Linked DNA regions of Caenorhabditis elegans. The protein of the gene in region 2 interacts with the protein of the main gene of each other region in a biochemical or structural test. Each region holds a gene or a part of one and is shown on either strand. Other genes may lie near its edges.

Region 1 (16,410 bases), on a different chromosome or scaffold from region 2:
TTCACGTGGTGTCAGGTTATCCCATCACGGCTTGATCTACAATAAATGCGCCATTTTTTTCCCCGGAAAAGTGTGACGTCAGCTCGTTCATCTCGTTTCCCGCATTTTTTGTAGATCACGAGTTTTCATTGATATGTTCACGTTTTCCATATTCAGGGAACACTGAACTCTGAGAATGCGTATCTTGCAACATAGTTGACGACGCGCAAAATATCTCGAAGCGAAAACTACAGTAATCCTTTACATAAATAAGACTACTGTAGCAGTGGTGACGGGGCCTGGGCCTGGCACCTGCAAAAAAATCGAGCCCGTAAATCGACACTACAGTAGTCTTTTAAAGGATTACTGTAGTTTTCGCTACGAGATATTTTGCGCGCCAAATATGTTGCGTAATACGCATTCTCGGAATTTTGTGTTCCCAATTTTCAAATATGTGAGAAATATTTGTTGTACATTTCCCAATATCCCGAATTTCTATTTTACCATAATTTACAGTAGGATTACGGTAAGAAATCGCAAAATTTCCAAAATTCCACACCGACCAATCACCAAGCCTGGCTCCACCCACTTTTGAACCAATCAGCGTTGATTGGCACGAAAATTGGCGCTGATTCGTCTAAATTCCTCCCGGCGTCAAACACCACAAAAACCTCCCGACCAATCAGCATCTTCGAGCTCCGCCCACTTCACCCGATTGGTTGAAGAGTGGGCGAAGCGAATCGCTGATTGGTCGCCTCATTTTGGAGGGAATTTAGCCAAAATAAGAAAATCTCGTTGGATTTCCATATTTTTTTCGACTTTTCTGGATATTTTAAGGCAAAATCCTTCTCCAAAAGTCTCCAAAAAAATTCCAAAAGCTTCTCAAATGTATTTTTCTTCTAAAAGTGCTTCCTCTCCAAATTTAAATTCATCAGCGTCTCCTCGAATTAAACATTGTCTGTCTGTGTCCCGGCGTCGTTCTATTTCTCTATGTCTCCAACATCATAATTTTTGTGAGGGCTGAACAGCCTCACTCTCGCCCTCTTGACTAGAAAAAAAACAGCCATCTCCTTTCCTTTTCTTCATTCCTTCCTCTTTTCCCAATTTTCTTTCCATACCAGTTGCACAGATAGTCTCGTTTTCTCTAGCCACCTTCAATTTATTGAGGAACATTGACCACATTACAATCGTCCCCAGTGCCGTGGGCAATACCGAAACCTGCCGTATGCCGTGGGAACACTGGGCACAGGCATATAGTTCACAATGGCATTTTGCTCTGATATTTGCTCTTTTTTTTATCGCATTGCTATCTATTTTCTGCTCTTTTTTGGTTTTTTTTGAAATTTTAAGAAATTCCAACTTTTCAATGTTTTCATGTACATAGAGCATCTTTTGGCAAATCCGCGATTTGCCGGAATTTTCAATTCCGCCAAAAAAATTATTTCCAAAAAATATTGTACTCTATATAGGTTTTACACATATTTTGTGGGCTTAATTTTTTTTTCTAGAAAATTGGCACACAAAAATGTGTAAAACCTATATAGATTCATCAGAAATTTTGAAATTTCCGGCAAATTGGCAAATTGGCGGATTTGAAATTTCCGGCAAATTGGCAATTTATCGAAAATGAAAATTTCCGGCAAATTGGCAAATTGATGGATTTGAAATTTCCGACAACTTGGCAAACTGACGGAAACCAAAATTTCTGGCAAATCAGCAATTTGTTGGAATTGAAAATTTTCGGCAAATCGGCAAATTGCCGAAAATCAAAATTTCTGGCAAATCGACAAATTGGCGGATTTGAAATTTCCGGCAAATTGGCACATTGCCGGAATTGAAAATTTCCGGTAAATTGGGACATTGCCGAAATGGAAAATTTCCGGCAAATCGTCAAATTGCCGAAAATCAAAATTTCCGGCAAATCGACAATTGACGGATTTGAAATTTCCGGCAAATCGGCAAATTGCCGGAATTTAAATTTACGGCAAATCGACCATTTGGCGAAAGTCAAAATTTCCGGCAAATCGGCATATTGCCGGAATGGGAAATTTTCGGCAAATCGGCAATTTGTCGGAATTGAAAATTTCCGGTAGATCGGCAGATTGACGGAATTGAAAATTTCCGGCAAATCGGCAATTTGCCAAAAATCTAAATTCCGCCACTTTGCCGGAAATCAAAATTATGGCAAATTGGCAATCGGATTCTAAAATAAAACTTCCGGCAAATCGTCAAATTGCCGTATTTCAAAATTTCCGGCAAATTGGCGGTTTGCGGGATATGATATTATCTGGCAAATCGGCAAATCGCCGGAATTGAAAATTTCCGGCAAATCGACAAACCGGCAATTTGTCGATTTGCCAATCGGCAACCGCTGTATAGAATTTGATAATTTTCTGAGTTTCAACATGAAAAAATATTTCAAACGATACATTTTCACATTCTTAAAATTCAGAATTTCTTGAAATTGAAAAAAAACCTTTTAAAAAAACTATTTCTCTATTTTTCCATATAAATTTCTAAAAAAATCGAGATTTTCCAATTTTCTTGCAATTTCCTTTCGAAATCACAACAATTTTCCAGAAATGAACGACGAAGACAGTGAGGAAAGGCGTCATCACCCTAAAGTACCCCGGCTTGCTAGGCAGTAAGTACTCAAAAATTGAAAAAATCGCTAAATTCGCTCCGACCAATCAGCATCCTCGAACTCCGCCCACACCACCTGATTGGTTGGGCAGAGCGAATCGCTGATTGGTCGGAAGTTTTTCGCGATTTTTCGTGCAACTTCAACAAAAAAAAACTTCCAGATCACATCCCGAACCACCTGGTCCTAGTTCAAGCACATCCAGCACTCCACTCTTCACCGATCCAACGATTCACACGATTCTCGATCAGATAGGCCAACGACTAGCGAGCTTCAGCGAAAGTGATGTGAAACGAATCAAAAACTACTTGAGCACTGTAACAGTGACACAGGAAGCGTGTGTTCTGTTGCTTCTGCCCAACAAAGAACGGGAGAAGCTAATGTTTGCCGAGATTGAAAGACATATACTGGAAAACTATGAATATAGTATGATAATTCATCGATATGTGAATGATGTGCTGAAGCATGCCATCGAAACACAGTTCGTTAATCCGGATAAACTCGACGAGAGCAACGATGCTTGGAAGGACGGATTGAAGATGATTAGCGAGCAAAAGATGAGAAGCTCGCGGTACACGGCAGCTCGGGCTCGAAGTCAGCGGTTCGCAATCGCGAATGATAGCTACTTCCCGAGGCCTGAGATTGTGCCTAGTACAGATCATCCTGTCTTCGCTTCAAGACCTTCGGTTTCTACCCAGGAGGTTCGAACTGGGCGCCAACAAATAGATCAGGAAGTTTCTGGCAGGAAGCGAGAATTTCATGGAAAGCTGATTCCGATCACAGGCGTGGTTGAAGAGCCAAGTGTCAGAATAAATGCCGAACTTCAGCAGTCAGAAACGCAACAAATTGGAGACAGTTCAGATCAAACAGGTAAGTTGTTTAGTAATATTGGCTTATTTCAAGCCAATTAGTACATCAGAGACAGGATTGCACGGCAATCGAATTTTCGGCAATCACCGAAATTGCCGGAAATTTTAAAACCCGGCAATTGCGGAAATTGCCGAAACTTTTGAAAATCGGCAATTGCCGAAATTGCCGACTGCTCAAAATTTTAAAAACCGGCAATTCCCGAAATTGCCGAAAACTTACAAAACCGGCAATTGTCGAAATTGCCAGAACTTTTTAACACCGGCAATTGCGGAAATTGCCGATTGCTCGAAATTTTGAAAACCGGCAATTGCCGAAAAATTGAATAACTTTTCAGATACTGCGACTCCGATAAGCGACATAGCCACTCATCAGGATCCGGAAAACGAAATCAGTCCATCAGTGACAGAAGGTTCCAATGATATTGCTGACGATGCTGGAGCAGGAGACGACTTTTCGGAAAGTACTACTGGAGCTGTGCAGCCTGAGCAACAAGCATCCGAGCACTCCAACTCGGAAGGTGTCGAGAAGTCAAGCTGCGCTGAATCTCTTAAAGAACAGCCAGATCAGTCGAGCCCAGCCGTTTCTAATACTGTTTCGGAAAACTCTAATACCGATAGTGAAATATGCTCTGGAATAGATCAAAATCCGAATTCGGATAACCTGGAATCTACGATTGATGTGGGTGAGCCGCTTCGCAACACCTCCGATCAGCCATCTCCTGATCCTTGTTCTGATGTCCAGATAGGAGTGAACAGCACCACCAAGCAATCCACTGATCCTTCTGTGAACGTTCAGCTTGGACACAAAAGCTCCGATCAGCCATCAACTGATCCTTCGGCACATGCTCAGTTGGAGGACAACTGCACCATCCAGCCTTCAACTGATCCTTCTTCGAACGATCAGCTGGGAGACAATACCTCCGACCAGAATTCAACTGATCCTTCTTCCGACGTTCCGATGGAAGACCCTGGAGAATCAGGATCAGCTGCTTCAACGCCTCCACCCGACTGGGATGTTGCAGAAGTTCCGATTCCTCAGTGTAGTGGCCACTCTGACGGCAATATCGGAGGCACGAATGAAGTTACACCACCGGAACAAGAAGCTCAAGTATTGGCTCCAAGACGTTCAGAGAGATCTCGTATAAAAAATATTTGGCTCAGCCGAGATGAAGTCGAACGATTGAGATATGAATTTGTGCCACCGCCGTCCAGAAAAGATATTCCGAAGTGCACTGCCAAGAAGCCCGAAGCTGAGATACCGAATGTAGAGCCAGAGTCCAGTTCAACTGTAGAATCACAGAGAGATGAAGATCAAGCGGTTGCGAGCGGTGAGTTCAGAGATATTGAATATTTTACATCAGGGGTGGGCGGAAAATCCGGCAAATCGGCAAATTGTGGGAATTGAAAATTTCCGGCAAATCGGAGAATAGTAAGAATTGAAAATTCACGGTAAATTGGCAATCTGCCGAAAATCAAAATTTCCGGCAAATCGCCAATCTGCCGAAAATCAGAATTGCCGGCAACTCAGCAAATTGCCGGAATTGAAAATTTCCGGCAAATCGGCGAATTTCCGAAAATCGAAATTTCCGGCAAATCGCCAATCTGCCGAAAATCAAAATTTCCGGAATTAAAAATTTCCGGCAAATCGGCACATTTCCGGAATTGAAAATTTCCGGCGAATCGGCAAATTGCCGGAATTGAAAATTTTCTGCGAATCGGAAAATAGTGGGAAATTGAAAATTTCCGGCGAATCGGCAAGTTTGCCGGAGTCGTAAATTTCTGGCAACTCAGCAAATTGGAGGAATAAAACATTTGCAGACCGGAAATTGTCGCCCACCCCTGTTTTGCACTACGCTTTGACAAGTGTGAATTTATTCGCTTTTTTTATTTGCCTGAATTTTGCCGATAAAGAAGATTTCCGGCAAAGTGGAAAATTGCCGGAATTTAAAAATTTCCGGCAAATCGGCAAAATGCCCAATTTGCCGCCCACGCCTGCTTCACAAATTGATTAATTGCAGCCTCTTCCGTAGCTGAACCTCTGGAAGAAGCCACTACAACGAGTGTGCCAGAGCCAACAGAGTTTCAATTGTCACGGGACATTTATAGCACTGTAAAGCCGACTGATGAGGCTCATAGCCCGCCGATTCAAGCCCAACCGAAGAAAAAAGCCACGCCAAGACGGAAGAAAGCAGATGACGTGGAAACTGTAGTAGCTGACGGAACAGCGACGATCCCGAAGCCGAAGAGAAAAAGGCCGCCGAGGAAGAAGCCTGAGCCGAAGCCGAATATCGTTTTTGAAACAACGCCGAATCCTCCGACAGAAAGCTTCGCAGCCAACAACAATTTCCAGCAGTTCCAGTTTCAAAATCAGCCTGGTAGTTGGACCTACAACAATGGATTCGGCAATGGATATGGGTACGGCGGTGGAACCACTGGATACATGGATAATCTTGTTGGCAGAGGGTTTGACACGGTTTCTCAGCAGCCTGGATTTCAGAATCAAGGTACATTTTTTAAAAGGAATTGAGAAAAATGTGCCAAAAAATTTTAAAGGTGGACTACGCTTTGTGGGGAAATTGCTTTAAAATACGCCTATGGTACCACAATGACCGAATATCATGATTAAAAAATTCAAAAATTTTTTCTAAATTTTATATGATTTTTTGAAAATTGGAAAAATCACAGTTTTCCCCTAATTCCTATTTGAATTACCGCCAATTGAATTTGTTCGATGGGGCGCGCTTGCACGTTTTTAAATTTATTTATTTTATTTTTTGTTATTTTCCACCGATTTTTAATGTTTTCGGTGTATTTTTGCTCGAATTTTAGAGAAAAAGTCAAAATAAATGCAAATTTTCGATTAAAAAGTGCGCTTACAGGCGTAAATCAGTGAAATTAATTAATTCAGGTTCGAAATCGTTTAAAAGCGTTACTTTTTCATTTTTACGCCTGTAAGCGTGCTTTTTAATCGAAAATTTGCATTTATGTTGATTTTTTCTCTAAAATTCGAGCAAAAATACACCGAAAACATTAAAAATCGGTGGAAAATAACAAAAAATAAAATAAATAAATTTAAAAACGTGCAAGCGCGCCCCATCGAACAAATTCAATTGGCGGTAATTCAAATAGGAATTAGGGGAAAACTGTGATTTTTTCAATTTTCAAAAAATCATATAAAATTTATAAATTTTTTTTTGAATTTTTTATCATGAAATTCGGTCATTGTGGTACCATAGGCATGTTTTAAAGCAATTTCCCCACTAGCGCTACCCCACCTTTAAAGGAATTGTGAAAATTGTGAAAAAAAAAATCAAAATTTCGAAAAAAAAAGCGCTAATTTTAACTAAAATCTCTAATTTTGGCCACTTTTCCGTGCTGCAGCGTCCGAAAGTGCACTTTTTTTGAATTATTATTCTTATTATTATACATTAAAAACCCCCGTACTCCTCCAATAACGCCAATATTATCGACCATCTGGACGTGACCGCGTGCAACCACGGCCTAGCTGCCGCCACCCCATTCAAACGAGACATTTCGGCGGGAGAGTCCTTTTTTTCGATAATTCGGATTTTTTTGTCTGTTTCAAGTAATTTTCGCCATAAAAATTACCATTTTCTTCTTCGGTGCCATTTCTAATGATTTTCCAGTGCGTTTTGAGTCTGAAAGTTTGAAAATAAGAGTTTTTGCACAAAAATGTGTGAGAAAAGTTCAAGAAAATCGTCGAAAAATTCAATAAATTAATTTTAAAATTTAAAAAAAAATTAATTTTTTTTAAAAATCAATTCTGTGCATACACCGCCACGCAAAAGTGCACACAATTACCTACCGTAGTCAATGCGAAATTAAATGATTTTTATCGATTTTCTTCATTTTCAGGTTACGAATTCACCGGTTTGCCTGCAAATAACTCGAATAATTTCCCATTTTTGTGATTTAATTTTTCAAATATCCTTATCTATGCCCTCAGGTTTATTTTATCTCATTTCCACTCGTGTTTTTTGAATAAAAATTCTTTTTTTTTCTTCTAGATTTCCGTTTATTTCAGAATGTCGAAGACTGTAAGAATTCCGGACATGTTCCTCAAAGCATCCGCTGCCTCTAAACGGTATTTCCCGCTCTGAAAATTCAAAAAAAACCACCGAAATTTCAGAAAATCCGCTTCAAATACTGAAAATATTCCGGAAAAAGTTCCCGCGGGCAATGAAAATCAAGAAGTCAAGAAAATGAAGTTACAAGCACCAGAACCAACTGAAATTCTGCTAAAATCCCTGCTAACCGGTGAATCTTGGTCGAAACTTTTAGAGGAGGAATTCAAAAAAGGCTATATTTCGAAAATCGAGAAATTCTTGAATTCCGAAGTGAACAAGGGCAAGCAAGTGTTCCCACCGCCCACACAAATTTTCACAACATTCAATCTTCTGCCATTCGACGAGATCAGCGTGGTTATCATCGGTCAAGACCCCTATCACGATGATAATCAAGCTCACGGGCTCTCCTTCAGTGTTCAGAAGGGTGTAAAACCGCCGCCATCGCTGAAAAATATCTATAAAGAGCTTGAATCCGATATTGAAGGCTTCAAGCGGCCCGATCACGGGAACCTGCTCGGCTGGACACGTCAGGGAGTGTTCATGTTGAATGCCACGTTGACGGTTCGGGCTCACGAGGCGAATTCTCACGCGAAGATCGGCTGGCAAACTTTCACGGACACTGTTATTCGGATTATTTCGCGACAATCGGAGAAGCCTATTGTCTTTTTGTTATGGGGAGGATTTGCTCATAAGAAGGAAGAACTGATTGATACAAAGAAACATGTAGTTATAAAGGTCATTATTTTTCTGGATAGAATTCTGGAAAAAGCATGGAAAAGTTGATTTTAAGATTTTTTCCCTAAAAATGTGTTGGAAAACGACAAAAATTGCCGATTTTCACCTGTAAAATCGGAAATTTTGCGATTTTGCTGGAAATTTAGGTAAAAATTGCCAGAAAACCTAGAAAAAAATTCAAGATTTTCCCATAAAATGGTAGTAAAATTGTCACTTTTCAGTTAAAAACTAAAAAAAATTCAGGGGTTTGCTCTAAATTTTCCCCTGATTCCGAATATCTATGTGAAAAATTGGAAAAAAACGTCCCTTTTATTGTAGAAAATCGACGATTTTCAAACGCGCGCCAGAGAGCCAGAGACGATTCTCATTGGAACGCACCGTGTTGTGTCGATTTACGAGATTTGTTTTTTTAAAGCCAATTTTTTGCTGTTTCTTCATTTTTTTTTTCGGTTTTTTGAACATTTTATTATTATAAAACTCGCAAAATTTCCTTATTTTTAGATGGAAAATGATTTAAATTCAGAGAAAAAAAACCGAATTTTTTCGATTTTTTCAAAGAAAATCGGAATTTTTCTTCTTTTTTTTTTTAAATAGAAAACCGGAATTTTTCTATTTCTTTCCAGAGAAAATCGGAATTTTTTCGTTTTTTTTAATTTTTTTCAAAGAAAATCGGAATTTTTTCGATTTTTTTTTTGATTTTTTAGAGAAAATCGGAATATTTTCGATTTTTTCAAAGAAAATCGGAATTTTTTCCATTTTTTCATATAGTTTTCCAGAGAAAATCGGAATTTTTTCCATTTTTTAAAAGAGAAAATCGGAATTTTTTTGAAATTTTTAAGGAGAAAATTAGAATTTTTTCGATTTTTTAAAAGAGAAAATTAAAATTTTTTTTTTCTATTTTTTCAGAGAAAAATCGAAAAACAGAAATTGTTTTTTAATCGAAAAAAAAATTCGAGAAAATTTCTATTTAAAAACTCCAATTTTCTCTTTAAAAACTCAAAAAATTCCGATTTTCTCTGAATTTACCTCCTTTTTCATCTAAAAATAGGAAATTTTCGCGGTTTTCTGATCATAAAATGTTCAATTGGCTCGAAAATACACAATTTTCAACGAAAAAAACCGATAAAAATGAATAAAAAGCTGAAAGCTGGCTCGTAAATCGGCACAAGACACAGCGCGCTTCAATGTCTGGCGCGCGTTTGAAAATCGTCGATTTTCTACAATAAAAGGGACTTTTTTTTCCAATTTTTCACATAGATATTTTAAACAAGGAGCAAATTTGGAGCAAAACCTGGAGAATCTTGTTTTTTTTTTTGGTTTTTAACTGAAAATTGACAATTTTACTACAATTTTGTGGGAAATTCTTGAATTTTTTAAAGTTTTTCTGGCAATTTTTGACATTTTCCACCAAAATTTAAATTAATTTCAAAGGGAAAAATTGATTGGTTTCAGACGTGGAAAATCGCAAAATTTTTGATTTTTGTGAAAAAAAAAACCTATTTTTTAGCGTATTTTAAAAATATTTCCACTAAACTCAAATTTAATTTTTTAAAAAATTTTAAAAAATTTCCAGACCGCCCATCCGTCTCCGCTGAGTGCTCGCAAGTGGTGGGGATGCAAATGCTTCTCGAAATGCAACACGGAGCTCGAAAATTCCGGTCGAAACCCGATTAATTGGGCGGATTTATGAATAAATTCTCCTGTCGAACACCCTGCGTCTCTTCATCTCACACACTCTCTCGCCACTCACTGAAGAACTCTGTTATTTATCGATTTTTCTATTTTCTCTTCATTTTTCCTCATTTTTTCCTCATTTTTTCGGTTTTTCATCATAAAAATTCGATTTTCTGGCCATTTTTTTGTTCAATTTCCAATTTTTCATTCGTTTCAACGATTTTTAAATGCTTTTCACGGAAATTGCAGCGAAAAATTGTTTTTTTAACAGAAAAAAAGAATGCGGCGACAAAAAACCGAAGAGGAACGGAGCTGGACTTCAATTTCTCGGCATTTTTTATGCCTTGAATGTAGAAAATATTTCCGGAATAAGGTAGAGAAGATAATATTCTAATTAAATCGCAGAAAATATATTAAAAATTGAAAAAAAAAAACCGATTTTTCCCAAAAAATATATTAAAAAACCGAAAAAATTCCAATTTCTTCTTTAAAAAAATTTAAAAACATTGAAAAATGCTAATTTTTCTTATAAAAAACGAGAAAATTCCGATTTTTCTCTAAAAATATATTAAAAATTGAAATTATTCCGATTTTTCAGTAAAAATATCAAAAAATCAGATTTTTCTCTAAAAATACATTAAAAAATCAGATTTTTCTCTAAAAATACATTAAAAAATCCGTTTTTTTTTTAAATTTATATTAAAAATCGAAAAATTCCGATTTTTCTCTTTAAAAAATCGAAAAAATTGCAATTTTCTCAAAAAAAAATCGAAAAAAAAATTCCAATTTTTCTTTAAAAATATAAATATATATATAAAAAAGCGGAAAAATTCTGATTTTCTCAAAAAAAAAATTACAAATTAAAAAAATCCGACTTTTCTCTAAAAAAATTATTAAAAATCGAAAAAGATTCCTATTTTAATTTAATACAAAAATTAAAAATCGAAAAAAAAATTCGATTTTTCTTTTAAAAAATTTAAAAAATTGAAACATTTCCGATTTTTCTCTAAAAATATATTAAAAGAATCGAAAAAATTCCGATTTTTCTCACAAAATAATTTAAAAAATCAGAAATTTTTTTTTTTTAAACGAATATTTCAATTTTAATTCAAAAAATTTCATTTTTCAGCGCGAGTTCTATTGGCACACCGAAGATTGTCTTATGGAAGCTTTTGAACGAGAAGTTGCTCTAAGCGTATCCCGTGGAGCCGACGAAGATATCGCTGAAAATGAGGAAGAATGGGATGATCAACCATCAGAAGAAGCTCTTGTTAGTACGAAAAATCTAGAAAAACCAGGAAAAAATCACGAAAAAACGCGATTTTTCACAAAAAAAATGCCTAGAAACATAATAAATTTGAGCCTATTTCAGATTTTTTGGAGCAAAATCAGGCCTAAACTCGAAAAAAATTTGCTCTGAAAAAAAATATCGAGAAAATTCCAATTTTCTGTTTAAAAAATCGAAAAAAATCCGGTTTTTTTTTTCGTTAAAAAATATATAAAAATCGACAAAATTTTCGATTTTTTTTTTTTTTAATCGAAAAATTCTGATTTTCTCACAAAAAATTGACAAATTTTCGATTTTCTGTAAAAATTTTAAAAAACGAAAAAATGCCGCTTTTGTCTTAAAAAAATCAAAAACTAGAAAAAACTTTCGATTTTCTCTGAAAAAATTTAAAAAATCGAGAAAAATCCGATTTTCTATTTAAAAAAATCGAAAAAATGTCGATTTTTTTTATCGAAAAATTCTGATTTTCACACAAAAAAAAAAAATTTTTCCATATATTTCCGATTTTTTCTTTAAAAAACCACAAAAAAAATCCAATTTTTCGTTAAAAAATATATAAAAATCAACAAAATGTTCGATTTTATCTGAAAAAATTAAAAAATCTAAAAATTCTGTTTTTCTATTAAAAAAATCGAAAAAATGTCGATTTTCTTTTGTTTTTTAATCGAAAAATTCCAATTTTCGATTTTCCGTAAATTTTTTTCAAAAAATAGAAAAAAATGTCGATTTTGTCTTTAAAAAATTCAAAAAAAACTGGAATAATCTCAAAAACCACAAAAATGAGAACCGCCCGACCAATCAGCGATTCGCCCGCCCACTTTTCAACCAATCAGGCGAAGTGGGCGGGGTTAGAAGTTCTCATTTTTAAGAGAATTTAGCTAATTCTTTCGCGATTTTTTAAAGTTTTTCATTTTTTTCTTTTGTGGTAATTTTTGAAATTAATTTAAATCGCCTAAAAAAAGCTTCAACGTACAATTTTCAGGGTCTTATAGCGAAAAACGAGGCGTCTCCGTCAAAACAACAACAACCACCACCACCACCAAAATCTTCACCAAGAAAACCGGAAAAAGCTCAAAAAGAGGAAAAAGTGATAGCAGGGCCACGTGGATCACAAATCATTGTATCAGTTGAGCCCCAAGTTGAAGCAGGCTTTCAGTCGGATGATGATGATGATAGTGAACCACCACTTTTAGTGTCACAAGTTGAACAGGAAAAAGAGGATATTAATGAAGAAGATATTGGAAATAATGATGATGAAGAGGAGGAAATGGAAGGAGATTTGGAATATGGAGATGAAGAGACTCCGCTTAGTTTTATACCTTCTGGAACGGTATGGGAAAACTTAAAATGTGCTCCTGATTCCGAGTATATATGTTTAAAAAAATTGGAAAAAATTTCCCTGATTTTCAAACGCGCGCCGGAGACGATTCACGAGATTTTTCATATATAAAAAATCGAAAAAATTCTGTTTTTTCTCAAAAAATATTTAACAAACCGAAAAAAATCCGATTTTTTCTTTACGAATATTTTTTAAAAATTCCAAATTTTATCAGAATATATTTTAAAAATCGAAATAATTCCGATTTTTCTTTCTAAAAAATTATTAAATATATTACAAAAATATAAATAAAAAATTAAGAGTGGAGCGCCGAAATGCCCCTGCTGCTCGTATTGCCAGGCTGTCCCACCACGGTTTGATCTACAAAAAATGCGGGAATTTTTTCGCCCAAAAAAATGTGACTTCAGCACGTTCCTAACCATACGAAATCAGTTGAAAACTCTGCCGCATTTTTTGTAGATCAGCGTAGATCAAACCGAAAGGAGCCACACTTTGACACCACGTGCTGATTCCGAGTATATATGAGGAAAAAATTCCAGAAAAACTCTTTTCCAGCAGAAAATCGCGAGGAGACGATTTTCAAACACACGCGCGCCAGAGACGATTCTCATTGGAGCGCGCCATGTTGTGCCGATTTACGATATTTTTTATTTTATGCCAAAAATGCAATTTTTTCTTCATTTTTTTTCTGCACTTTTCCTCTTAAATCGCGTGTGTGCCACGGGTAGGTGTTTTTGAAAAAACTTTTGACATGCGATGTCCGAAAAAAGTTGTCCGAAAAAGTTTGACCATGCGTCATTGTTGCCACGGCTTATAGCTCGGCGCTGGATGGATGAAAATTCGAGTTCTTTTTTTTAATCTCTTTAAAAAGGGTTTAACTACATGATATTTTTTACCGTTCTCAATTTGAAAAACGTTGAGCAAACTTATGAAGCTCCCAAAAAAAAGTTCTCCAAAATTACCCAAAAAACACCCTAAAAATCGCTCTAAAACCCCTTTTTCAGTGCAAAGAAGAAGTCGGATCAATTTCTGTTCCAGAACTTTTTTAGTTTATTTTTTGAGCCCGATTTTTTGAAGCGGATTACAAGCTGATTGACCCAATTTCGAAAATGTAGGCCATCATTAAAGTTTTCGAAAAACTAAAAAGATGAACAAAAATATGTAATACGTGAAAAACTCTCTCTCCACTCTCTCTCTTCCTCTGATTTGGCAATTTTTCATTTCTTATTTATCACGCAAAGAGAATTAAATTATTTCAATGGTTTTTTAAATTTTTTTTGCAATTAAGAAAGAGTACAAGTAGAAGCTTTGGACAACTGTTCTTATTCTTAATCTAAATTTCTGAATTGTAGGCTTTTACTGCCGGGTCAGCGCGCCGCAGGCGCTCTGAATCTAAATTATAGGCAGAGCAGGCCGAAGGCCTGCGATGTCATGACAGCTTTCTCTGTAGGGTCAGAGCGCCGCAGGCGCTCTGAATCTAATTTATAGGCAGAGCAGGCCGAAGGCCTGCTATGCCAGTCGGCTTTTACTACCGGTTCAGAGCGCCGCAGGCGCTCTGAATCTAAATTATAGGCAGAGCAGGCCGAAGGCCTGCGATGCCATGCCAGCTTTCTCTGTAGGGTCAGAGCGCCGCAGGCGCTCTGATTCCAAATTGTGAAGGACATACAAAAATATTTTACTCTGTGTGGGGTCGAACCCAGGGGTACCCACCTGACAGACCAGTCCTCTACCACTTGTCCATGGCGCGCGCGCCGCCACACACTCTGCGTGCGCGCCCCTCCTCTTTCACAGCAGCCGACGCCTGTGCAGGACCTTGCACACCTCTCCTCCCCTCCCCCTTCCTGCTCTGCGAGCCCGCCCCTCCTCAAACTTCAATCGCTTATATCTCCGCTCATAGTTGTGATAGAGACTTCGTTCTTTGAGCAATCGATCCCAAATTTCAAGGAGATCTCGAATAACACCAACACAGGTTCGAGGCAAAGCCGAGAACCTGCGCCAGCTACCTTTTCGGGCATCCCCATTCCCGAAGGTCTGGCGCGGCTTGCCGCGCTAGTCTGCATTTTCCTCTTAAATCGCGAGTGTGCCACGGGGGGTCGTTTTTGAAAATGCAATTCCTCCGCAAATGTCAAAAAAAATGTCCCATTTCGGACATTTTTTTCCTATTTTTGTTATTTCACGAGATTTTCCAGGAGAATATACAACTCGACGAGGCGCGTCTGTTCACCTAAAAATCATTTCGATCTGAGCACTTTAAACCTCTTTTATTGAGCTCCAAACCGTGGTGCGCGCTCTTTCACCCGCCGCATCTCCCCCTTGGTGTGTTTTTTTGGGTGCAATCCTCAAACCACCGCTTCGTGCGCTGTTCTCTTTCACAAATCTTGGGTTTTAAGGTGAAAGTATTGTAGAGTAAGCTTCTGGCTACATCTTAAAGTAAAATTTATTCCAAAAAAGTTATTTTTTCATTCTGAAAATCGAGCCAGAAAAAATGTTGTCAAAAAAATGAGGTTTTTGCCTTAAAAATAAAAAATTTTCCACTACCGAATGGGATTTTATGTTAAATTCGTAATTAGTACATAAATACCGAATGGATGCTGAAAGCACAGCTCTCTACGATAATTTTCAACGATTTTAGAACATTTAATTTTTGACCTCGAAATTTCAATTTCCCTCTTTTCCTGGACCAGTTTTTTACTGAAATGTGAATTTTATGCCCTAAATCTTATTATTTTTGCTATGAGAAGCGAGACAAACCAAAAGTTTTCGGTCATGAGTTTCTCGAGCCCCGTTCCTGAAGTTGTAGGCTTCAAGCCTTGCTCAGGAAGCTGAAAAGTTCATTCTTGACCAATTTTTAAATTTTCAAATGCTATAATATTCTACTTTTAACGCTGATTTCGAATATATACTTTTCTTTTTCCAATTCCTATTATGAGCTGAGTTACGGCGCTTTCAAGTTTCAGCAACGCCTCCTCTCTCTTGCCTCCTCCCTCTTATGCATAGGGTGGCTGTAATATGGTCTCTAATTACTGTTACAGGATCAGGTATGTATATTTTACGACATATCGAAGAACAATCGACAGCATCACCACATTTGTTTTTGTAAGAGGTCCCTCAATAGGTTGTAAAACAGTCTATAATATCCACCTTTCTTCCTGCAAGAAAGGAGGTAACGTATATGAGACTGTACATTGGTTGCAATTGAGGGGTTGACAATTATTATTTTAATTTTCTAATAAAAATACATTAAATTTTTTTTTTAATTTTAAAATAAAAAATCCTTTTTAATTTTAAAATAAAACATTTTTTAATTTTCGGCTTTCACTGCCGGGTCAGAGCGCCGCAGGCGCTCTGAATCTGAATTATAGGCAGAGCAGGCCGAAGGCCTGCTATGCCAGTAGGCTTTCACTGCCGGGTCAGAGCGCCGCAGGCGCTCTGAATCTAAATTATAGGCAGAGCAGGCCGAAGGCCTGCTATGCCAGTCGGCTTTCACTGCCGGGTCAGAGCGCCGCAGGCGCTCTGAATCTAAGTACAGACAGAGCAGGCCGAAGGGCTTCTATGCCAGCCTGCTTTTACTGCCGGGTCAGAGCGCCGCAGGCGCTCTAAATCTAAATTGTGTACTGCAGGGAGACAAAAAATATTTTTGAGGTAACGTATATGAGACTGTACATTGGTTGCAATTGAGGGGTTGACAATTATTATTTTAATTTTCTAATAAAAATACATTAAATTTTTTTTTTAATTTTAAAATAAAAAATCCTTTTTAATTTTAAAATAAAACATTTTTTAATTTTCGGCTTTCA
Region 2 (16,410 bases):
GCAACGCAGTTTGAATTCTAACTTTGATAATATAATTTTCACACGAAATCCCTATGATCGGTTCATTTCAGGATTTACCGAGAAGTGTGTAAAGTAAGTTTAGATTTAGAGGATAATATCAGGATCTGCAAAATATAAATTTTAGTAACACGGACACAAATATTTGTCACGGATGTGGAACCGACATCCGATGTTTCTTGCAGAAAGAATATCGACGTTTAATTAGAATGAGTATGCTATTTCCTGTTTACACTGGAGCAGACACACATTTTGCTCCTCAAACTTGGTGAGTTCTCAACTTCATTAAATTCTTCATGCCAGGATTTTAAGCTGTCTTTTGAATTCATAAGAGGCTACAAGAAGACAAAAGACATAATGTCTCGCTAAGATCAAGATAACAGTTTTTGTCTAGCCTATTGCCTAATTCATGTTTCCATTTCTCCTAGTCATGAGAATCTTCAAAAATTTAAACCAAAAGATCGTTCAACGGTTTCTCAGGTACTGCGATATGAAAAACAACATCAAGAACTCAACAGTAATACAATATTCGAGTACGGGGACAGAAAAAATAAAGATGATTGATAATTTATTGACCGTTTTCAAAAATAGAAATGTACCAGAAGAAAATCTGAACGAAGTCAGAGAAGAACTTTCAAGTAAGCTTTTTTTAATTGCATTCTTGATTTCATTCAATTTCAACACTTTCAGAAGGAAAAACCCAGCACTCAACATCTGGAACATCTCTACGACTTAAATATGAAAAGCTTATTGAAGAAGATGGAGCTATCAGGAGAGCTTTACAGAGAATTTATTACTATGATTTTTTATATCTTGGGTATTCAATGTAGACGGGTTAAACAAGTAACTATGATTGACAGAAATCGGACAATTTTCCCCGGTGTTGCATTTCAATTGTATTTCCGTATTCTGATTGTTTCAACATAAACTTTATGTTTCTAAATACTCGGCATTTTGCCATAGAGTTCCCTCGCACTTCTACAGAAAAATCTGAACTCTTTGTGAACTCTGACGACGTGCGAGAGGAGACTGTAGAAGTGAACTCTGTGGCAAAATGCCGAGTTGTTTGAATTGAACAGTTCAAATTGGAATATGTTTAAAGTAAATTTTCCACAAACAAAAAATTGTTGAAATTGTTTATTATTGAAATCTATAAAACAATTCAATTGACAAAGATAGTCCTACGATGTGTATGATTGTGAAGAAGAGGTAGTTCAATAGTCGAACTTGTCGCACTTCTGGTCGACGGCGACGCGAACGGTGCGCTCCTCCATTTGTGGTTGGTCACGAAGGTTGCGGAGCTTGTGCTCTGGCCATTGGGCGAGTGGCTCACGGCGGATCTCGCGCATTTGACGGCGAGCCCATGAGTTGGAGGATGGGAGGCAGTAGACGGAGGTCTGAAATGTTACAGAATAATTGATTGAAATGTATAACTACTACCACCTTTTGCTTCTTGGACTCCTGTGACTTTCCGTTTTGGCAGCGAAGAACTGGCTTCTGGGTGAAGCAGATCTCGTGTTGACGCTCGACAATAGCGACTTGCTCAGTTGGCTCATCGTCTTGCTCGCGGCGAGATTCCTCGTAGTTCATCTCTTGGTCCTTCTCCTCCTCTTGATTTTTCTCAATGCGTTGGAAGTTCTCCTCCTTCTCGAACATCTCACGCTCGTAGTTGCACTTGGAGTCCTTGTACAAGTAGCTCTTGGCGAACTTCTGAAAATTGAGATGATTATTGTTGTGTATCAAAATTAAGAAACTTACTGGAATGGTGTTCTCTTGGTTCTCAGCATCATAGAATTCGGTTTCCTTCTCGTTGTCGTAGTGGCCGCAAAGTCCGCATTGTTGGTTTCTGTAGAGAGCGGAAAGGTGAATACGGGCATTGACTCCATCGAATTGAACAGTGACATCATCAGAATCGAACTTGAGTGTGTTCTTGTTAAGCCAGATGATGTTGTATTGCTTCTTCTCAATCTCAGATTCTGGTTGGTACTCGATTTCTTCTCCGTTGACACGGCAGATGAGTCCTTCCTCAGTCTTGTACATTTCAATCTCGTTTTCTCCGTAGACAACCTTGACGTTCTTCCACTCCTTCTTCTCGTTGATCTTCTTCATAAGGACAACGAAACGGGGCTCGCTCTTCTCAGATCCACAATCCTTGGCGAGAACGGAGTAGCATGGGGTGAATTGGTTACGGTAGGCAACTTGGTCGAAGGTGTTGATCTTGGTGCTCTTGACAACACAGTTGGCTTGCTTGGAAGCGTGATGGGCGATCTTCTCCATGACTGGCTTCTGCTCGTAGCGGGAGTTTCTTGGCTGGTAGTGGATTTGGGCAGTTGGAAGTCTGAATGGAAGCTCGACACGCTCAAGAACGGTGGTCTCCATTGGGGTCTCGATAGTCATGTTGACAGTTAGACGTTGGCGTGGTTCAACATTGATTGTGGCACGGATCATGTTCTTGCGGCTTGGCTCCTCACGGGTCTCGATTCTGGAAGTCCATGGGTATTGGGTGCGAAGATAAGCTTGAACCATGTTCCAGTATCTGGCGAAGTATTGAGCTGGCTTTGGCTCGAACTCGTACTCAACAACAGTTTGGTATTGGTCAAGTCTAGATGCCTCGAGAAGGGTCTCGTGCTCTGGGGCTTGCTCAATTTGCTTGACGAACTTCTTTTGTTCTTGGGATTGTTGTCCGTTGATGTTGATGTGAATGGTGTTCTCTCCGTAGTTCATCTCTCCCATAACAACGAGTTGACGGTACTTTTGCTCCTTGAGCTCCTCAACAGTCCTTGGGGTTTGTGGGTAGACGTATTGGATTGTAGCCTTAAGCTCTTCTCCGCGGATTTGGGTCTTGCAGAAGTGGAAGTCATTGTTGCAGACAGCCTCAACCTCCATCTTGACAACCTCTGGCTTGATTTCGAACTTGGCGACGTGTTGGTAGACCTTCTCGTTTTGGAGCCATTCGAACTTCTTTGTGATCTGCTCACGGTGCTCTTCCTCATCGTATTCTGGCTCAGCCTCAAGATATCTTCTTCCGTTATGCTTCTTGTATACCTTCTCGTAGTTCTTCTCCATCTTGTAGTTGTTGTACAAGTTAAGCTCAAAAATAGCCTCGTATTGCTCAACATTTGGCTTGTAGTAGACCTCGACGTTGCTGTCAACTATCCATTGTGGGATTCTCACGCTGGTTGGGCGGTTGAGAGTTCCTTGAACACGGATTTGTGGGTATTCACGGTCAAGAGATTGGCTGAGTTGTTTGTGGGCTGGGAGCATGTAGGTCATCTCGATTGGTTCTGGGTATTGACGAGCATCTGGGGCGACAGTGCGGGTGAAGGTGACTGGACGAGATTGGATCATGGCGATTCTCTTCTCCTCGGATGGGGTGTTGTAGATAGCACGGATAACAACCTTGTCTTCCCAGTTCATTCTGATCTCAGTGTCAACTGGAGTATTAAGGACGGCTTGGTGAAGGAACTTGGTTCCGACCTCGGCGATTGGGCAGATAACTCTAAGAGAAAGGACGTGGGTGGAGGCTACACGTGGCCCAGCTTGAACACGAAGGCGAAGTCCGTCGAAGCTCTTTCCGTTCTTTGGCTCAAGCTCGAAAGTTACTTGTCCGCGGATGGAGGAGATGGTTGGCATCTTGGAGGTGAATTGAACTGGAAGTCCCATTGGAGTTGGAACTCTGCGGACGGTCTCGTAAAGGAAAGCAGCGTTGGAGGCAGAGAAGTGGATTCCTTGGGCAAGGACTCTCTCGATATCTCCGATCTCAAGTCTTCCTCCTTGGATCATGGAGCGGACAACCTCTGGGATTGAGTCAGCATCAATTGGAAGGAAGGCGTAGTCCATATCACGGTGTCTGATGTAGACAAAGGCATGTGGATCTTGCTCAGATGATTGACGACGGGTGATGCGAAGCTTCTCGAGAAGGTTGCTCAAGAATTCAGTTGGTTGGAAGGATCCGGAAGCTCTCTTTCCGCGAACAACGATTTGTTCAAGTCCTTTTTCTTGAACATTGGAGAGAAGTTTCTTGATGATCTTCTCCATATTCTTCTGGGTAAATCCGATTTGAGCGAAGTATTGGTTCCATTCTCCGGAGAGAACTCCTTCAATCGAAGCCATCATCTCGGTTGGGAGAACAGATTCGGTGGTGAAGAGGGAAGCAAAGTTAGCTTCGAATCCGGATTGGTGGCGTCTGGAGTAGGTGGACCATTTTCCATAGACAGACTCGAAGCGATCAATCTCTTGGGATGAGAATGGGATGTTGTTGAGAAGAGATTGAACACGGGAAGAGAATGTCTGCTCGCATGGAGACTCGTTGTTAGCATAAGAACGGAGAAGGGAGAGGGTGAAGGCACGAACTTGTTGGTTGCGCTCTTGTCTGAGTTGGTTTCCGATCTGGGAAAGGACGGACCATTCTGGTTGAGTGTAGATGATCTGATGGAGTGCAGACATGCGGATGTGTTGTGGTTGTTGACGGTTAAGGTAGACTGGCATAAGAACACGTTGAATCTTTGTTGGCATCTGGGTGCGAAGACGACGGAATGACTCGATGGCTTGTGTGCGGATGGTGGTTTCGTGTTGCTCGTTGAGAATGATCTTCTCGAGTGGGTAGACAGAGAGATCAAGTCCGGCATTAGCAAGGGTCTTCAAAGCAAGAACCTTCTCGTAGCGGGTGGATGCAGATTCGAATTGTTGGACGAGCTTGTCAACGATTCTTTGCTTAGCATCACGTGGGCACATCTTGACTCCATTCTTCTGGACGAAGACTCTTGGGGTTTGTCCGCACACTCCATTGACAATAGCTCCGTAGGTGAGCCAGCAGGATTGACGAAGAGCTGGGAAGCTTGAAGATACATCGGATTCGCAAAGGCGAGCGATATCTTCAGCAATAGCAAGAGATGGGTAGCGCATGTCGACGAGTGTCTTGATGGCAACGGAGGCTTTGAGTGGAGCAATGTTCTTGCGAGATTGAACCTTGTCAACGAATTGTTGAATGGTGACACGAGTTCCGGCGAGAGCAAGGGTGTTGAAGTAGATGGAGCGAAGTTGCTCAGCAATCTTCTCATCCTTGTGCTCAGCGACGTGGCGGTAGATTTGTTCGAGTTGCTCCTCGTTGCACTCACGGAGAACCTTGACGATTCTGGCAACAGTGTGTGCAGCCTCAAGCTCAGCCTCTCCTTGTTCGATTTGCTTGGCCATCAAAGAGAACATCTTTTTGATCATCTCGACCTTGTTCTCGGTCCATTGTGGGAGTTGTCTAAGGTACTTCTCCTCTCCAGTTTGAGCCCATTGTTGCTCAGCCCATTCGGATTCCTGGTTGTAGACAAGCTCGGAAGTCTTCTCATTGCGGACTTGCTTGATCTCGGTCTTCTTCTCTCCAGCATAGATAAGCTCCATGGTGTTCAAGGTGAAGGCAGAAACAAGTTGATGCTTCTCGGAGATTGGGGCAAAAAGGTGTTGGGAGCGAAGTTCAACGGAGTTGATGAGGAAGCTTGATGAAGTTCCAGTGATGTTGTAGTTGAGAACTGTGGAGCTCATCTTGTCTTGCTCAAGAGTTTGCTGGCAATCCTTGCACACTGGAGTCTGCACGTGATGGATGTATGGGCGGCGGGTACATTTGTCGAAGTTGATCGACTTAGCCCAACGTTGCTCATCCTCCTTCTTGATCTCTTCAACGGTGTAAAGGACCTCGCATTCTCCTTCGAGGGTGCGCTGAAATTCAATTATTCAAATTTCGAACTCAAATATATATGTATATTTAGAACTTACCTCAACATTGGTGAAAGAGAAAGTTGGTTCTTGGTTGTCACTCTTCTCAGCTCCTTCGTACTTCTCCTTCTTGAGGATGTTGACTTGAAGCATGTTGATGACGGCTCTCTTGATGTTCTCTGACCATGGCTGATCGTTCTCAGCAAAACGGATCTCTCTGACAAGTCCGTGTTCGTAATCAAACTCAACTGGCATGCTCAAAAGCTCTTGGTGCTCACGGTTCATGCGCTCAACCTCCTCGAAACGCTCGAATGGGAGCATCTTCATGGAGTTGGACTCTTGCTGAGAGGTTGCGAAGCGGGTCTTCTGGAGTTGCATGCGGACGGTGTTTCCATCAGTCCATTGGAGGGTAACTTGAGATTGAAGACGTGAGATTCCTTGTGGGGTAGATGGGACTGGAAGTCCGGCAGAGAGCTGGCCATTGAAGAGGTAGCGGTACTCGCGTCCGGCGCGGAATGAGCTGAAAAGGAGTACAATGTGATTGATATTTTTGAAAATAATTGAAATATAAAAAGGGTCAACTCTCAAAAATGATTTAAAAAGTAACTTACGATTCTTGAATATTTCTCTCGATGGAGTTGTAACGATCCAAATGGGTCGAGGCGAGTGCCGCTCCCAAGAGAGCAAGCGCTATGAAGAACTTCATAGTGATTGATCGATCTAAGTGACCGAGTGAAGAATACATGAAGCTCGTGTCCTTTTATACATACTCTTAAACTTCGACAAGATGTCCATCGCAGCATGTTGCAATTCTGAAAGTAGCTTAGAGACCATGCGGATTGAAGAGACTCAGCATGCTTATCAGTCATTGAGACAGGTGTCAATTGTTGAGTGCGGGAGAGTGTCAGTAATGTTAGGTACCATTTTGGGATTGGCGGGTGGCTCCGATGAGGGGAGGTGGATGGGGAGATGGTTTCTGGTCAAAGTATGACAATTTTCTTTGACAGTTTAGTTACATTTTCTACTTTGAAATTGCAACACTTTCAACATTTTGCATCTGACTTTTGGTTAAATTGGGGGAATAAAATGATGCCATTATAGTCATGAAATGGCAAAAATAACAATGACCTTAGCTTTGCGAAGATGTGAAATATTGCTTCAAAGGCACCTGATGTTTTCTATGTGGGTCACGCCTTAGTCATGTGGCCAAACCAAACTGTTCATGAAATGTGGAAGTATAAAAAATTTCACAAACTATAAAAAATAGCAAGATTCACAATAAATTATTCTGCTTCTAGTTTTTTGTTGCGAAATGATAATATTTTTCAGAATACAAATAATTTAGATATTTCAAAGTTCTAAAAATCCTACAAACTTGAAACAATTAATGAACAAGGCAAGAATTTCGGTTTAGTGGCAAAGGTGCATTTTGAACAAGAAAAAAGTCTATCTGAATACTTTGCTGTGCATTTTCCACTACTTTAGAGGCCCGTAAATTTTTTATTTTTGAAAAAATTTAATTTTGACTTCAAAATGTTTTAGTAAAAAATTATTTTTTAAAGAAATGTTGTCAATGGATGTTTGTACATTATGCACCACAAATCGGTGTTTTTTTAAACTTTCTAGTTCTGCTGCTAACAAGGTTTTGTAATGATATTTAAGATATCCCCTTTTGAATTAAGTTTTCATTAAAAAGTCTGATTGTGAGCTGAAATACTAATACCTAAATATTTCCGTACAATTATGATATTATACAAATCTCAGTTATGACGTGAAATCATATTTAATATCCAATATTTGTAATTTGTGGATATTCCTTATCTTTAATTAATCTCTGGCAGATTGTTCAAAAATTACTAACTCATTTTCAAATTTCAAAATTTGGTGAGATTTCCAACTATGCTCTCAAATTGGAATAATTTCTATATTCATCTGATACTTCTCAAATCACAAATCTTTTCAATGGCACTCATTATATCACTGATTTCTGGAGTTTTGATATTATGCAGTCAAAAAGGTGGAGGATCAAAAACGAAGAATGCAGATTCTCGGTTTGTTTATTATTTAGTGCAATCCTTTCTGTGGAATAATTAATTTCACCCATTCTGTGCCACAAAATACAATTTGTTTCCAGTACAAAAAAATCAGCGTCGACTTCTATTGTGTCTCCAATTGAAACAACTGCAATACCAAAAGATAGTGTGATGGTAAAACCAGAGCCACCGAAAGAAGAAACAAAGAGTAAGAAAAGTGTTATGTAAGTTTTTGTTTCCCTCAAATGAAAATTGAAAAGCTAACAAATTTACTTGAAACTCTATTTTTCAGCCAGAACTCTATAAAAATGCTTCGTGGAAAGAAAAACCTTCAAAAAGCAACCACATTGCAAAAGAAAACTGAAACGGATTCACAGCATACTCAAGTTATTAACATGGAATTAGGAAAAGCTGCAGGGTTGGTTTTTTTAATTGAAATTTTAACCAATTATTTGTAAATTATTTCAGATCCGAGAAAGGAATATCCAAATTAACAGTCCCAGAAGAGCGGAAAATTGTTGAGAAGCCCAATGGAAAGAAGGTGCAGTTTGCGGATAAGCTGATCAAATCAACGTTGACTCCGACTGAAAAGAAATAGATCGATTTAATGGAAACTTGATTATAGTTGGAAATGAAGTATGATTCAATTTAGATCGATTTTTATTCTATTTGGAAAAGGACAATCCCGTTACTAAATGCATACACGACAGGATCCATGGCGCGTTAAAAGGGATGTGAAGGTCGTTCCAGCTCGGCTGAATGGAATATTTTGTAAACAGCAGGAGACTAAAAGTTGCAGAAAAGGAATACGTTCAAAAACCGTTCCAGGTGATTTAAATAACTTGATCAGACGAGACGTAACAAAACATTGCAAAAATTTACGAGCATACTTTGGAATTTGCGAATAAAACTAATTTTGGCCTTCATTCCGAGATGACAAACTTTTTGGTGGCAAAGGTTCTTTGGGGGCATAGTATCCAAGGAGACAAAGTATCCAGTAGACAAACTGGGGTGTATCTTGGGGGGCATATTTTTGGTGACAACCTTTTTTTCAACTAGATTTTTGTTCACATTTTTCTGGAATAAGTTTTTTAATGCAATTTTCAATCGATTATCGGTTATAATTCCCTCACAATTGAATGTATGAACGATGGTCTTTTGGGAAAAGCTGTAAAACGTCCAACTAACTTGGAATATCGTGAGGCTCTTCCTGATGGTCTGATCCTTCAGCTCCGAAGGATCGTAAGGGTACCTCCTGATGGTCTGATCCTTCAGCTCCAAAGGATCACGAGGCTCTTCCTGATGTTCTGATCCTTCAGCTCCGAAGGATCACATGGGCACCTTCTGATGATCTGATCCTTCAGATAAGAAGGATCGTAAGGGTGCCTCCTGATGGTCTGATCCTTCAGCTCCAAAGGATCACGAGGCTCTTCCTGATGTTCTGATCCTTCAGCTCCGAAGGATCACATGGGTGCCTCCTGATGGTCTGATCCTTTAGCTCCAAAGGATCACGAGGCTCTTCCTGATGTTCTGATCCTTCCGATCCGAAGGATCACATGGGTACCTTCTGATGATCTGATCCTTCAGATAAGAAGGATCGTAAGGGTACCTCTTGATGGTCTGATCCTTCAGATCCAAAGGATCATGAGGCTCTTCCTGATGTTCTGATCCTTCAGCTCCAAAAGAACATGAGGCTCTGCCTGATGATCTGATCCTTCAGATAAGAAGGATCGTAAGGGTACCTCCTGATGTTCTGATCCTTCAGCTCCAAAAGAACATGAGGCTCTGCCTGATGATCTGATCTTTCAGAGCCGAATGATCACATGGGTACCTCCTGATGTTCTGATCCTTCAGCTTCGACGGATCATATGGATTTTTGACAAAATTTGAAAAAAAAAACATGATAATCAGCTTCTACCAAATAATGATAAATTCTCCGCGATGACAAACTTTTGGGTGACAAAGTATCTTGGTGGACAAACAAAAATTACCGAAAACTGATGTAAGGAATAGTGAAATAGAGTCCTATGGACTATTAAACATGTTCAGTAGGTGTATTCAGGACTGTCCGTCAAAATAAAAAAAAGTTTGTCAGACGAAGTTCGAACCTGGGACCTGTAGGATGCAAAGTGCGCTCACTACCACTACACCAGCTATGCGAAAGTCGGCCAGCCTCATCGAAGGCTATAATAAAACTTAGTTCGCACGAGTATGATCGACATTCAACAAACAGTAATATCTCTCAACAAGAATTTCTTCATGGAATTGAGGTCATTTGACTATTTTTATCGGTTTTTCAAGTTGAGCATAGGGTCTTTTAATTTTTTGAGCATAGAAAATCATGAAAGCTGCCTGTTCCTTGTATCCTGGATCGAAATAGACGTATCTGGCCTAAAATATTTCCTGAAAAGTGATCATTTCATGTCCATTGTGTGTATCTCTGTATTTTGAACCAGAAAGTTGAACAAAAATGATAATATTATATCGAAAAATGGAACAAATACAAATAAATTTTAGTCCTAATCAAATTTCCTCCGGATATTGTTTTTTTGTCATGATTATATGTTTCTAAATTTTTTATAATGTGTTTTATAACAAAATTCGTCATTATTTCCTTCATTTCAAGCAAAATTTAACAGTTCGAGCTGAAAAATAGATGTTGCAAAAAATTTAATTTGTTTCGATGAATACGGTATACGGTCGGTGTTTGCGTACTTTACGTTTGCGTATGAAGCATCCTATTTGACGCACGAAACTTTCAATGAAATTTAATGCAAATTCTGCCTCGAAAAGGACATTACGATGGAAATAATAGCGAATTTAATTATAAAACACATTATAAAAAATTTAAAAACATATAATCATGACAAAAAAACAATATCCGGAAAAAATTTGATTAGGCCTAAAATTTATTTTTTATTTTTTTCCAAGGAACAGGCAGCTTTCATGATTTTCTATGCTCAAAAAATTAAAAGACCCTATGCTCAACTTGAAAAACCGATAAAAATAGTCAAATGACCTCAATTCCATGAAGAAATTCTTGTTGAGAGATATTACTGTTTGTTGAATGTCGATCATACTCGTGCGAACTAAGTTTTATTATAGCCTTCGATGAGGCTGGCCGACTTTCGCATAGCTGGTGTAGTGGTAGTGAGCGCACTTTGCATCCTACAGGTCCCAGGTTCGAACTTCGTCTGACAAACTTTTTTTTATTTTGACGGACAGTCCTGAATACACCTACTGAACATGTTTAATAGTCCATAGGACTCTATTTCACTATTCCTTACATCAGTTTTCGGTAATTTTTGTTTGTCCACCAAGATACTTTGTCACCCAAAAGTTTGTCATCGCGGAGAATTTATCATTATTTGGTAGAAGCTGATTATCATGTATAGTTATACTGTTTCTTGAAAGTTTTCGGTCCTATCATGATAAATTTGAACTATTCTTTAAAGAATGAAGAATAACAAAAAAAATTTCGAGTTTTTTTTCAAAATTTTTTTTTCAAATTTTGTCAAAAATCCATATGATCCGTCGAAGCTGAAAGATCAGAACATCAGGAGGTACCCATGTGATCATTCGGCTCTGAAAGATCAGATCATCAGGCAGAGCCTCATGTTCTTTTGGAGCTGAAGGATCAGAACATCAGGAAGAGCCTCGTGATCCTTTGGAGCTGAAGGATCAGACCATCAGGAGGTACCCTTACGATCCTTCGGAGCTGAAGGATCAGACCATCAGGAGGCACCCTTACGATCCTTCTTATCTGAAGGATCAGATCATCAGAAGGTGCCCATGTGATCCTTCGGAGCTGAAGGATCAGAACATCAGGAAGAGCCTCGTGATCCTTTGGAGCTGAAGGATCAGACCATCAGGAGGTACCCTTACGATCCTTCGGAGCTGAAGGATCAGACCATCAGGAAGAGCCTCACGATATTCCAAGTTAGTTGGACGTTTTACAGCTTTTCCCAAAAGACCATCGTTCATACATTCAATTGTGAGGGAATTATAACCGATAATCGATTGAAAATTGCATTAAAAAACTTATTCCAGAAAAATGTGAACAAAAATCTAGTTGAAAAAAAGGTTGTCACCAAAAATATGCCCCCCAAGATACACCCCAGTTTGTCTACTGGATACTTTGTCTCCTTGGATACTATGCCCCCAAAGAACCTTTGCCACCAAAAAGTTTGTCATCTCGGAATGAAGGCCACTAATTTTTGAGAATGTTTTAATGTTCCAATGCGTTTAAAATCGATAATGTCATTTTCAAACTATTTTTGCACCCCCTGCTGGATTTTTGAAGTCTTTCTTGGATAATCCATCTAATGTTCCATTTTTACCTCGCGGTGGTTCATAAGATGAAATGTCATGAGGCTACAAGGACATGCAAAGTACGATGCTATCAGCATCTTATCTCTGCAATACTCCGATGCACAATTTGGTTGTTTCGATGTAGTTTGATTAAAAATAAGTACCGGTTATAAAAGGAGAAGAGCTAGAAAATATATTTTGGTGAAATTAGCTTGCCAAGAATGTTGGGTAATTAAAAAAAAAGTGTGCAATGAAAATTATTTAGGCATTGTACCGGTTTACAAAAGGCAATAGGTTTCTTATGCCAAAAATATCTCAATTATTCTTTTACGAGGAAGTATTACTTGCTAAACACGTTAAACAAATCAAAATTAACCAAAAATTTTAAAGGTACTTTTTTCTTTTTCTGGAATTGAATATTGCCAATGTTTTAAACTTTTATAAAATTCTTTCACATTTTCAGTGTTTATTTATTTAAATATTTGCGATCTTATCTATTCGTTTCTTCGCTGATACTTTTTTAGTGCCCAAAAAAGTGTGTTAACAACTCCATAATTGTTTTGCAAAATAACAAACCTGTGGCGGAATTCGCCGTCAAAATATAATTTTCAAAAATTGATTCATTTTTTTAAAAATATTTTAACCAAACATTTATGGTTTTGTAAAAACTCTTTATTAATTTTGAATACTTCACCATATGAAAAACTTTAGGAAAACTAAATGCGATGTAACAATTTCAGAAAAAAATGAGCGGATTTTCATTTTGGGACGACATAAAAAAGTTTCCAAAACTTTTGTATCCGAAAAATATGACAGAATAAAGAGAAGACCAGAGAATTCTAAACAAGTACTTACATAGCGTATAATTTTAATTTATGAACAACTGTTTATACTTTCAACTAATCAATTTCCGTTCCCTTATAAATTTTCAATTGACTGTCTGAGACTTCACATTCTGATCTTTTGTTCCGCTTGAAAAAAAGGTTTTCGATCACCCATATGTGCGTGACGTATTTCAGTTAATTATCCGATTCTTCTCCGCATCCAATACGGTAGCTGTGACTTCTCCTTCCTTCTCCAACATCTCTCAGCTTCCCGTTTGATCCTGTTTCTTTGTTTTCTTGTTTCACTAATCTTTGGAAAAAGCTGGCTGATCAAATGAGGGAAGTACTCATATTATCTTTTTCCGTAATCTTCAAAGAAAAAATTCAGTTAAATTGTTTGAACGTCATAGCGAGTTTCTCTTGCAACTTGGCCAATGTCCGTTTTCTTATCTCGTGACATCATAAAAAGTTCATCCCAAAAAAATAATCGGCTTGGAGATTCTCAAACATTTTCAAAAATTAGTTTTTGAACTTTAACATTCTCCAACTTGAATACTGGAAAGTTATACCCAGTTGCGAGATGATTTTCAAAAATACGGTAAAAATGGTATGCACCTTTAAGTAGTACAGTGTCCATTCCTCGTCATTTTGCAATATTCTTCTATTTTCACATGCTTTCTCTTAAAAATTTTACTTTTTTTAAACATTGAAACACATGTAAATTGTAAAAAAAATCATAAACTTGGGTAAATTACGAGAAACATAGAAAAGCCAAATTACATTGCGAGTTAACGGTAAAAACGTTTTATTGTACTACTTAAAGGTCCCAAACTTTTATAAAATCACCATTTCAAAATATTATTTTTATGTCGGGAGTGAGTACATTTCTTGTTTGAAACAGAAAATTGTTTTTCGATAAAAATCAAAGATAATTGTAATTAAGAAAAATATAATACTTCCGGTGCCTTATTATTCCGGATTTTCCCCCACAATTGTTGTTTTATTGTTGAAACCTCCCCCGCGCACAAGTGATCCCTTGATTTTAGTTTTTAGATCAATTTCACTGACCACACATCAATCCTTCTTTTCCCAAACATGTTTCTCGCAAATCATATACAATGTTTGGTAGGGCTCGCCGAGCTTCTCGGTCGATCAACAAATAAAACGTGCAACTTTTACTCTTGTTAAGTTCATACTACGATTTAAAGATGAAAAGATGTACTGTAGTTGCCGAAACACAAGAATGATGTTAGAAAACAGTCAAGTGCAGTCAACTGTTTAATGTCCACACATTTTCGATTTTACTTGACGATTTTCTAAATTGATTTTTTAGACCTTCTCCTGCTCCAAAGTTATTTGTCATCTCTTCGAAACTCTTAAACCATCAACATGAATATGTTTTCAAAACTTTATTAATTTAAAAGTCACACTTTCCTAGGAAAGCTTAACTTCTATTGAACTTATAGAGCATTGTGGTTAAATACTAATGGAATATTTATGTAAATATGGCAAAATGTAAACTTTTTTTCGAAAAAAAAAACAAAACTGCTCAGACAGTACGAGTAACGTCTAACCATTGTTTTTGTCATAGTAGGTAAGAGTTGATCGTCACCGCAGTCAGCGGGCATCAAACCAGCGGCCTGTTGGACGAGAGCCAAACACACTACCGCGACACCACGTGCGTCATTTGGAGAGTCTTCTTCAATGCGTTTATAACATTTGTGTGGCGCAGTATCGGAAATATGATCGAAATTTGGAATTTCTGTGCGAAAAGCTACAAAATATGATAAGTACGTGACCAAGTATGGAATTTTATTAATAATTTTTATTAAAGTATTTACAGAGAACATCAACTAAAAATGTTAGCTGTCAATTTTAGTTGGAAAAATTACTTCCTTGATAAATTTCAGCCAAAAAAAATTGTTCTGGTTATATGTAAATAGTATATTTCAATCAGTTTCGTTTCACAATTTTTATTCTGTTTTTCGTATTTCCGGAAATGCTTCTTGATAAAAAAGTTCAATTTCAAAGTTACTTTTTCTGCACTTAACAAAAAAAAACTTACTGGATTCTCGAATTTAATTAAGCTATACTTAATTTATAGCATCGATGGCGTGAAACGATGGGAATATTTGAAACATTTTTCGCATGTAAATTTTGGTTTTCTTACCCAGCCAATGCTGCTTTTGAAAATTATTTTCAATTGTTTTATCTTTCTCAGTTTTTTAACTCAATTATAAGCAAAATTAAAATTGTGAACTAAACATCCAATGACAGCGTTGGCATCTCACTGTGCCAACCGTAATCCACCGTACACCTGAGATCGTTGCAAGATATGAGATTCCTTATTGGAAGATGTGTGATTCAAAATGTTCCATTTTATGATAACTTTGTAACTGGAAAAATTTAAGCCAAATATGATTACCAATTATCATTATTACCAAAAACCTTTCAAACATTTTTGAACATTTTTTGATAACAGTCAAAAAGTTGGAATTACTCAGTTTTTTATCATGATTTTTTAAATTAACAATTCTTCGCGTTTTACACCTAAAATATGTTTGAATTATTTGAGTTTGCACATTTTTGGGTCTATGCAATGATTTTTCCAAACGGCCAAATTATTCAAAAATTAAGCAAGTTGCCAAATCTTTGACTGAAATTTATGAATTATCTAAAACATTTCATTGGTTTTGGTATTTAGTCTGTCTGGTACATGTTGAGTATATTTTGACAAAATGCCTACTGCGCTACTACACTTTTATAATTAAAAACAAAAGGCCGTTTATGGGTGCCAACTTTTCAGAAACCATGCAGTTTCCTGAAAAAAGTTCAGTTTCAACAGGAAAACGTTTTGATCAACTGAATTTGATCGTAGTAGTTAAAAAACATTTTATACATTTTTCACTGTGCTTGTTCCCAAGTGTACTTCATAAGCCCGTTTTGGTTTCTGATTTTCCTCGGATATCAATTTAAAAAATAATTTGCTTCCTGATCAATATTTCACCCTCTAGCAGTCATCTTAATATTGAGACAAGAATAAATTTCTATATGATAAAATAAATTACAAGTCCAAAAAGTGTTCTTTAGAATGCACAAAGGAGAAAAATCAAACGTTTATAGCGTGCTCTCTCTCCTTTTTCAATTGAATTTCGCCTCCTTCCTTTTTCATTCTCGTGATAACTCCTATCACCAATTCGCGAAAAAAATCGTTTTTTATTCAGATTTTGATGGAACTGATTTTTGAACCGTCATTATTCTGTTTGATTCTTATGTACCTTATGCTTCTTTTTTTCTATTTTTAAACGCGTTTTGTGGCGTAGATTATAGAGCCTTGTTATTTTTGTTTCCAGATCTCTAAAAACCTTGTCTATAGACTTATAGGTATTATCTGAAAAACGAAAGACTGAAAACTGGTAATCAGTGAACTAAAAAGGAGAAGCACGAAAGATCAACCAATATATTATAGACGAAGTAGGTTTTGCAAAGTTAAAAATAAAGTTGATGCGAATGTTTTAAAG

Evidence for each region.
Region 1: the proteins of vit-6 (region 2) and ung-1 form a complex in vitro, tested with the Caenorhabditis elegans proteins (one large-scale study listed by BioGRID).

What each region holds. Positions count from the first base shown.
Region 1 is NC_003281.10:11,965,215-11,981,624, reverse strand, and holds ung-1 (Uracil-DNA glycosylase), read left to right. Parts: upstream 1-7,534; 5' UTR 7,535-7,535; coding exon 7,536-7,594; intron 7,595-7,639; coding exon 7,640-8,312; intron 8,313-9,885; coding exon 9,886-10,002; 3' UTR 10,003-10,158; downstream 10,159-16,410. Other genes in the region: Y56A3A.31 (SOSS complex subunit A homolog), read right to left, coding at 7,099-7,119; Y56A3A.30 (SP-RING-type domain-containing protein), read left to right, coding at 2,562-2,623, 2,784-3,490, 3,825-4,817, 5,508-5,993, 7,366-7,421; Y56A3A.28 (C2H2-type domain-containing protein), read left to right, coding at 10,267-10,359, 11,116-11,256, 12,257-12,604. UniProt on the Caenorhabditis elegans protein: Excises uracil residues from the DNA which can arise as a result of misincorporation of dUMP residues by DNA polymerase or due to deamination of cytosine.
Region 2 is NC_003282.8:8,251,190-8,267,599, reverse strand, and holds vit-6 (Vitellogenin-6), read right to left. Parts: upstream 6,428-16,410; coding exon 6,333-6,427; intron 6,242-6,332; coding exon 5,782-6,241; intron 5,725-5,781; coding exon 1,777-5,724; intron 1,729-1,776; coding exon 1,459-1,728; intron 1,416-1,458; coding exon 1,233-1,415; 3' UTR 1,141-1,232; downstream 1-1,140. Other genes in the region: K07H8.8 (sulfotransferase family protein), read left to right, coding at 1-93, 146-286, 499-656, 709-848; K07H8.7 (Lipoprotein), read left to right, coding at 7,621-7,772, 7,856-7,978, 8,047-8,172, 8,223-8,352. UniProt on the Caenorhabditis elegans protein: Precursor of the egg-yolk proteins that are sources of nutrients during embryonic development. May play a role in cholesterol uptake. May be involved in thermotolerance.